2 linked regions of the Saccharomyces cerevisiae S288C genome follow. The protein of the gene in region 1 interacts with the protein of each later gene in a biochemical or structural test. Each region holds a gene or a part of one and is shown on either strand. Other genes may lie near its edges. The genes, in order: ATG4 and ATG1.

Region 1 (3,937 bases):
ATCGATGAGTAGCTTCTTCTTCTTACCTTTACCCTTAGTTTCCAAGGACTTGGTTTCAAATGTTTTGAATCTTTCTGTATCATGTTTCAATGTGTATGCAATTAGGTCGTCCAGACCCTCTTCAATGTCGCTATGCACAACCGAGGAGGCCATATCTTCATCATCTTCATAGCTGTCGCCTTCATAGCTGTCACCTTCATCACTCGAATCAGAAATCGGAATATCTGAGTAGGTTGGCTCAGCTGGTTCAATTTTTGGTATAAGAGAATTTTTAATAAAATTCAAATATGCAGGTAATCTATCTTCAGGAAGACCTAACTCGTCTACAACGAAGTCTGTGAGTAAGTCCTGGTCAATCCAATGAAAGTCGTAATCTCCCAGTAATCTGTAACACCGTAGATAATATGAATTGTCTACTCCGCCCATTCTTATATTGGAGACCACTATGTCATTAGTATTTATGACAAAATCTTCTTCTTTGAATCCAAATTCTAACTCTTCGCTAGCAGGAGATGGCAGATTATCATTATTGCCTTCGAATGTTTTGGTACCATTTATTGAAAGACATTTTATATCTTCTGTCAACTGCGGACTAGGGCTTGGTAAAAGATTGTTGTCAGCTCGGGAATTGTGACGTTGGCCAACATAATTAAACCCTTGATCAACCTCAGAACTTGCTGAGGATTCGTATAAAGGTTCACTATTATTCTCTGTTTCTATTTCGTAGTCTAGTTCATCATTGTCCGAGTCGCTAGTATGCATACCATGTAATACGTTGGAAATGTAACCAGCAAATGGATGATATGTCTTATTACCCTTATTTGGAACGTCAACACTAATTTCCTTGCTTTCGTTACCTTCGGAAACGCTAAGTTCAACCTTTCCAATTGTTAAGATAGGATCGAACTCTATCGCAACTTCTCTTGGCCTTGCGATTTCCTCGATACATACTCTTTTTATTTTGGTTAGATCCGGCGATTGCTGAGCCTCTTCATCTACAAAAAACAGGTCACCATCTTCAACTTTGCTTTCATTCGAAGACAGCGAGTGGTCCGTCGAGGGTGAATTCTGACTATCATCATCCTCGTTTTCACTGTCTTCATTGTTAATATATTCAACATCAGAAGTCATCTTTCCTGGTTCTTCAAAAACGTCTGCTTCCCTTTCGACAATTTCTTCACTGTTCTTTGTTTCGTTCTTTGCTCTCAGTTTTTGAATCATATTGTGGGATGGATCGTAAACTTCCTTAGCTTTTACAAATTGCATAGGTCTTTTGCGGAATGCTGCCCTTCCTGCTTGTAGGTCAGTTGAAGAATCATATCGATTACCTGGTCTTAAACCACCCATTTTCATAGAACGGCTCTTGGCATCGCGACCAAAATAATAGTCTTCTATAGTTTTTGGTGATATGAATGCTCTTCCTGGGTTGAAGTCGGCGCCTACATCATCAAGATCACCTTCTCCTAGTGGTATAGAAGAGTTATGCCAACTGTTAGTGGGAGTAGGTTTTTTCTTTATCTTTCTGCCTTGTATGCCTTTAGCATTCCCCCTGCCAGCTTTCTTGGAATTGCTACCACGTGCATGCCTACGTCTGCTTCCTTGATAATGACTATGCCTTTTTGCCATTTTTTTTGACGGTTACAACAATTTATGCTTATATTTGACTCTGCGATTAAATCACTTCTTCCTTCTAGAAACTCTGCGCAGGCCTAATTGTTGTTGTTTTGTTCAGATCTTATTTAATTGTAAAATGTCAAATTTCACTTTTATTCTTTAGGCGGTGACCGTTGCAGCTGCCAACAATAGCGCCTCAAAGGAAAAAAGTAAAAATATACACACAATAACGTTAGTAGATGAAGAATGGACGACTTCTTATCACGTATAGGAGTGATATACATGCAGAGGTGGCTACAACTGTGGAAAATGGATTTGGTACAAAAAGTGTCTCATGGCGTTTTTGAAGGCTCGTCCGAAGAACCGGCTGCTCTTATGAATCATGATTATATAGTATTAGGGGAAGTATATCCTGAGCGAGACGAAGAATCTGGCGCTGAACAATGTGAACAAGACTGTCGATATCGCGGTGAAGCGGTTAGTGACGGGTTTTTAAGCTCTCTTTTTGGTAGGGAAATTTCTTCTTACACAAAGGAATTTCTTTTGGATGTACAATCAAGGGTCAACTTTACATATCGGACAAGATTTGTTCCTATAGCAAGGGCGCCAGATGGGCCTTCACCTTTAAGTCTAAATTTATTAGTACGTACAAATCCGATCAGTACAATAGAGGACTATATAGCAAATCCTGATTGCTTTAACACTGATATTGGGTGGGGGTGTATGATAAGGACAGGACAAAGTTTGTTGGGGAATGCCTTACAAATCCTTCATTTGGGCAGAGATTTCAGGGTAAATGGTAACGAAAGTCTGGAAAGAGAATCAAAATTTGTAAATTGGTTTAATGACACGCCTGAGGCTCCATTTTCGTTACATAACTTTGTTTCTGCAGGTACAGAACTCTCTGATAAAAGACCAGGTGAATGGTTTGGTCCCGCAGCTACGGCAAGGAGTATACAATCTTTAATATATGGCTTCCCCGAATGTGGCATCGATGATTGTATAGTATCTGTTTCATCCGGCGATATCTATGAAAATGAAGTTGAAAAAGTATTTGCTGAGAATCCAAATAGTAGAATATTGTTCTTGTTGGGCGTGAAGCTCGGGATTAATGCGGTAAATGAGAGCTATAGAGAAAGTATATGTGGTATCTTAAGTTCAACACAGTCAGTAGGCATTGCCGGCGGTAGGCCGTCTTCATCGTTGTATTTTTTTGGTTATCAAGGAAATGAATTTTTACATTTCGATCCTCATATTCCTCAACCGGCAGTAGAAGATTCATTTGTAGAGTCGTGCCATACCAGTAAATTTGGTAAATTGCAACTATCGGAAATGGATCCCTCGATGCTCATTGGTATTTTGATTAAGGGCGAAAAAGACTGGCAACAATGGAAGCTAGAAGTTGCAGAATCTGCTATTATCAATGTTCTTGCTAAGAGAATGGATGACTTTGATGTGAGTTGTAGTATGGATGACGTGGAAAGTGTAAGTTCTAACTCAATGAAGAAAGATGCAAGCAATAATGAAAATCTCGGAGTACTAGAGGGAGACTACGTAGATATTGGTGCAATATTCCCACACACAACAAATACAGAAGATGTAGACGAATATGATTGTTTTCAAGATATTCATTGCAAGAAACAGAAGATTGTTGTTATGGGAAACACACACACTGTTAATGCGAATTTAACAGATTATGAAGTAGAAGGCGTCCTTGTAGAGAAGGAAACGGTAGGTATTCACAGTCCTATTGATGAAAAATGCTAGTGTAAGGAATTCACTAGTTCATAAGCATATATACTTGTTTTAATATATTCCCTAAAACTGAGGTATCCAGTTCTTTTGTTCTTATTCGTTTGATCATCCTTTACGTATTTTTCGTCTGCGGCAGTGGAAAGAACTTAAAAAACGAAAGATAATAAAGAAAAAGGCCAGTCGGCACGAATTAAAGACCACCTGTAAGAAGATTAAGACAACGGTGGTATAAACTAGTGTCGAAGTCCAAAATGCCTAGTCATCGCAATTCAAACTTGAAGTTTTGCACAGTTTGTGCATCAAACAACAATCGTTCAATGGAATCGCATAAAGTCCTGCAAGAAGCAGGCTATAATGTTAGCTCTTACGGAACAGGTTCAGCTGTGAGACTGCCTGGTCTATCGATAGATAAGCCTAATGTGTACTCATTTGGTACACCCTATAATGATATATATAATGATCTTTTATCACAATCAGCAGACCGTTACAAGTCGAACGGTTTATTGCAAATGCTGGATCGTAATAGAAGACTCAAAAAAGCACCTGAAAAATGGCAAGAAAGTACAAA
Region 2 (5,168 bases), on another chromosome or scaffold:
GGAGCATTACATTAGAGACAAGTATATTTTGGGTAAATTCAGGTATGATGAAATAAAGCCTGAAGACTTTGGATCCAGAATGGATGATTTTGATGGGGAATCGGACAGGTTTGATGAAAGAAATAGAAGTAGGAGCAGGAGCAGATCTCATTCTTTCTATAAAGGGGGCCATAATAGGTCTGACTACGGCGGTTCCAGGGACTCATTCCAAAGCAGTGGAAGCAGATATTCTAGGCAACTGGCAGAACTCAAGGACATGGGTTTCGGTGATACAAACAAAAATTTAGATGCATTATCGTCCGCTCACGGAAATATCAATAGAGCAATCGATTATCTAGAAAAAAGTTCAAGTTCAAGAAATAGTGTATCGGCAGCAGCGACAACATCAACTCCGCCCCTGCCCAGGAGACGTGCGACAACAAGTGGCCCACAGCCAGCTATTTTTGATGGTACAAATGTAATCACGCCAGATTTTACTTCAAATTCAGCATCTTTTGTACAAGCAAAGCCAGCAGTTTTCGATGGTACCCTTCAACAGTATTACGATCCTGCTACCGGAATGATATATGTAGATCAGCAGCAATACGCCATGGCTATGCAACAGCAGCAACAGCAACAGCAACAGCTTGCTGTCGCACAGGCTCAGGCTCAGGCACAGGCACAGGCACAGGCTCAAGTTCAGGCTCAGGCTCAGGCTCAGGCCCAGGCTCAGGCTCAAGCACAGCAGATCCAGATGCAACAGCTTCAGATGCAGCAACAGCAACAGGCGCCATTATCTTTTCAGCAAATGTCGCAAGGAGGAAACCTGCCACAAGGTTATTTCTACACACAATAAAAATAAGATACATTGCCGCTGCTCCGCATTACATATCATATAGAGTGACACTAAGTAATTAAATGACACTAAGTAACGAAAGATATCTGTAAACAACGACTATATACCAGAATTAGTCATATTCTCTATTGTATTCACCCTACACAGCCGCATTACACAGCTGCTCCGGACGTTTTACGCTGCACATCAATGACTAATACCACTGTATTTGATCCACACTTAGCGCAAAAGTCACCTGGGTGGCGTTTTCCGCTCGCGCTCCGCCGGTGAGAGCGAGAAAAAAAAAAGGGATTGGGCGGTAATGTAAGGAAAACCCACTAGTTAAAATCAATGAGATAAGGAACTCTCTTTTTTTCCCGTTAATCATCTTTTCCTTGTTCGTTTCGTGTATCTGTAATGAATCTTATCGGAGTAACTATTACTGGAAAGCCATACCGTTAAAGAAGCAAGCATATCATTCGTATTCAAGCATCTGTTTTTCTTTTTAACCGCTCGGCTCTGATTTCTTAAACCATTTCCCCCATCAGCATCAGTTTGTGATTTGTAACTATATCGATCGTGGAATCGATGGAATTCTAAGCGTCATTTAGTTGGCAACAAAAGGAATCGAGCATCTCATAAAGGAGCTTATATTATTAATATCTTCCTGATCGTACTATTTTTTTTTAGCTTTTTATTTTTTAGGCCGAGGTTAATTCTAGAACGCCACATTTCATCACCTTTAAGTTAAGTACCAAGGCCATCTTTTACCCTTTTTAGTTTCTGGGGAAACAGAGAACAGTACTATAGAAGATAAAAAGATATAATACAATCGTAGTAATAGTACCCATAATAAAATAACATATAATATAATAAAAACATAAGGCAAAGGAGATAGGAGAATAATCATTGATATCTCCACAAAACGAATTTGAAGCTACCCCATATTTTCAAATCTCTTTTACAACACCAGACGAGAAATTAAGAAAATGGGAGACATTAAAAATAAAGATCACACAACCTCTGTGAACCATAATCTAATGGCAAGTGCAGGAAATTACACCGCTGAGAAAGAAATCGGAAAGGGTTCGTTTGCCACTGTATATAGAGGGCATCTGACATCCGACAAATCTCAGCATGTAGCCATAAAGGAAGTATCAAGGGCGAAATTAAAAAATAAGAAATTACTAGAGAATTTGGAAATAGAAATCGCTATCTTGAAGAAAATCAAGCATCCTCATATCGTCGGACTTATTGACTGTGAACGAACATCAACAGATTTTTATTTGATCATGGAGTACTGTGCTCTTGGGGACCTAACATTTCTGTTGAAAAGGCGTAAAGAATTGATGGAGAATCATCCTCTACTAAGGACCGTATTTGAAAAATACCCTCCACCGAGTGAGAACCATAACGGCCTGCATAGAGCGTTTGTCTTGAGTTATTTACAGCAGTTAGCGTCCGCTTTGAAATTTTTGAGGTCTAAAAACTTGGTTCATAGAGACATCAAGCCTCAAAACTTACTATTATCTACACCCCTAATTGGATATCATGATTCAAAAAGCTTCCATGAACTTGGATTTGTTGGGATCTACAACTTACCCATTTTAAAGATAGCAGATTTCGGGTTTGCAAGATTTTTGCCAAACACGTCATTAGCAGAAACTCTTTGTGGCTCACCATTATATATGGCACCAGAAATTTTGAATTATCAAAAATATAACGCTAAAGCAGATCTGTGGTCTGTCGGTACAGTGGTATTCGAAATGTGCTGTGGCACCCCACCGTTTAGAGCTTCCAATCATTTGGAGTTATTCAAGAAAATTAAAAGAGCAAACGATGTCATAACGTTTCCTTCATATTGCAATATTGAACCAGAGTTAAAAGAGTTGATATGTAGTTTATTGACATTTGATCCAGCCCAAAGAATAGGATTTGAGGAGTTTTTTGCTAACAAGGTAGTCAACGAAGACTTGTCTTCTTATGAATTGGAAGATGATTTACCTGAGTTAGAATCCAAATCAAAAGGTATTGTAGAAAGTAATATGTTCGTTTCTGAGTATTTATCTAAACAGCCAAAGAGTCCGAACAGTAATCTTGCAGGTCATCAATCAATGGCAGATAATCCCGCGGAGCTCAGTGATGCCCTCAAGAACAGCAATATATTAACTGCCCCAGCCGTTAAAACAGACCATACACAAGCCGTAGATAAAAAGGCTTCAAATAATAAATACCATAATAGCCTAGTTTCAGATAGAAGCTTTGAAAGAGAATATGTGGTGGTAGAGAAGAAATCGGTTGAAGTTAATTCATTGGCAGACGAGGTTGCTCAAGCAGGATTCAATCCAAATCCTATTAAGCACCCAACTTCAACTCAAAATCAGAACGTCTTATTGAATGAGCAATTCTCTCCAAACAATCAACAGTATTTTCAAAATCAAGGAGAAAATCCGAGGTTACTGAGGGCCACATCATCTTCCAGTGGAGGTAGTGATGGGTCTAGGCGACCATCTTTGGTGGATAGACGCTTGTCTATATCCTCGCTGAATCCATCTAATGCATTATCAAGAGCCCTCGGTATTGCATCAACGAGATTGTTTGGTGGTGCAAATCAACAGCAGCAACAGCAACAAATCACATCTTCCCCACCGTACAGTCAAACTTTGTTGAATTCCCAACTTTTTCATGAACTTACTGAGAATATAATATTAAGAATAGATCACCTACAGCATCCAGAGACACTGAAATTAGATAATACTAATATCGTTAGTATTTTGGAATCTCTGGCCGCAAAGGCATTTGTTGTTTACTCTTATGCAGAAGTGAAATTTTCTCAAATTGTTCCATTATCAACAACATTAAAAGGCATGGCTAACTTTGAGAACAGGCGCAGTATGGATAGTAATGCTATTGCAGAAGAACAAGACTCAGACGATGCAGAAGAAGAGGATGAAACGTTGAAAAAGTACAAGGAAGATTGCTTATCCACGAAAACTTTTGGAAAGGGTAGAACTTTATCTGCCACATCTCAGTTGAGTGCAACTTTCAATAAACTACCACGTTCGGAAATGATCCTTCTATGTAATGAGGCCATTGTCTTATATATGAAGGCATTATCCATTTTATCAAAATCTATGCAGGTAACGTCCAACTGGTGGTATGAATCTCAAGAAAAATCATGTTCTCTAAGAGTTAACGTGTTGGTACAGTGGCTAAGGGAAAAATTTAATGAATGTTTAGAAAAAGCTGATTTCCTGAGATTAAAAATTAACGACTTGAGATTCAAGCATGCTTCTGAGGTAGCTGAAAATCAAACTTTGGAAGAAAAAGGTAGTTCGGAAGAGCCAGTATATTTAGAAAAGCTATTATATGATCGTGCATTAGAAATATCTAAGATGGCCGCACATATGGAATTAAAAGGAGAAAATTTGTACAACTGTGAATTAGCTTATGCAACTTCACTTTGGATGTTAGAAACTTCTCTGGACGATGATGATTTTACGAATGCCTATGGTGACTACCCTTTTAAAACTAACATACATCTAAAAAGTAACGACGTTGAAGATAAAGAGAAGTATCATAGTGTGTTGGATGAAAATGACAGAATAATCATAAGAAAGTATATTGATAGTATTGCAAACAGGTTGAAAATATTGAGGCAGAAGATGAACCACCAAAATTAAGTGATGCATAATATGGTTTTCTTATTAAGTACAAATGACCTGCTATATTTTCAAGTATCTTCATGATTATGTTATGCTACTCTCGAAATGCTTTACGAGTTCGTCATTAAAGTATTCAAATTTTATTTTCCCTTTGTGTTTTGTTTTGTTTTTATTTCTACGTGATTTTTTTCTTGAAATCCAGCTCTTTTATACCTGGATGGGTTTTATTTTGATGTTTAAATGTTAATTAAGGAAATTATTGAATTCCTTCGGTTTCGGTGTGTTTTTTTCTTTTTAAGTTTTTTTTTGTTGCGTTTAGTACTTGCCTTTGGCTATACATATCCTTTTAATCTAATTTTTATTTCTTCAAAATTTGATTCTTTAACCTTTTGTTCTATATATATATATAAATGTATGTATGTATGATTTGATTGAGGAGGCTTTAACAAGTCATTAATATCTTTATTATTTTTACTTGTTGAGTTCATTAAAATTCATTTTATAATTTGTTGTTACAAACAGTATTTTACAAGTCATAATAAACGTTCAAAAACAAACACAATATTAAAAGAATTGGTATTAGGATCCGACATGACAATTAACTTAGATCCTTCTATCAAGTTTCTAATCATATATTACATCTATTAAAATAATTTACATATATCATGCTAAAGCTTATAAAGAGACAT

What was found.
Region 2: of the proteins of ATG4 (region 1) and ATG1, one has a biochemical effect on the other in vitro, tested with the Saccharomyces cerevisiae proteins (2 studies listed by BioGRID).

The regions. Positions count from the first base shown.
Region 1 is NC_001146.8:225,474-229,410, forward strand, and holds ATG4 (cysteine protease ATG4), read left to right. Parts: upstream 1-1,896; coding exon 1,897-3,381; downstream 3,382-3,937. Other genes in the region: SQS1 (Sqs1p), read right to left, coding at 1-1,626; SSU72 (RNA polymerase II subunit A C-terminal domain phosphatase), read left to right, coding at 3,621-3,937. UniProt on the Saccharomyces cerevisiae protein: Cysteine protease that plays a key role in cytoplasm to vacuole transport (Cvt) and autophagy by mediating both proteolytic activation and delipidation of ATG8.
Region 2 is NC_001139.9:158,262-163,429, forward strand, and holds ATG1 (serine/threonine protein kinase ATG1), read left to right. Parts: upstream 1-1,803; coding exon 1,804-4,497; downstream 4,498-5,168. Other genes in the region: GTS1 (Gts1p), read left to right, coding at 1-835; serine/threonine protein kinase TOS3, read right to left, coding at 5,148-5,168. UniProt on the Saccharomyces cerevisiae protein: Serine/threonine protein kinase involved in the cytoplasm to vacuole transport (Cvt) and found to be essential in autophagy, where it is required for the formation of autophagosomes.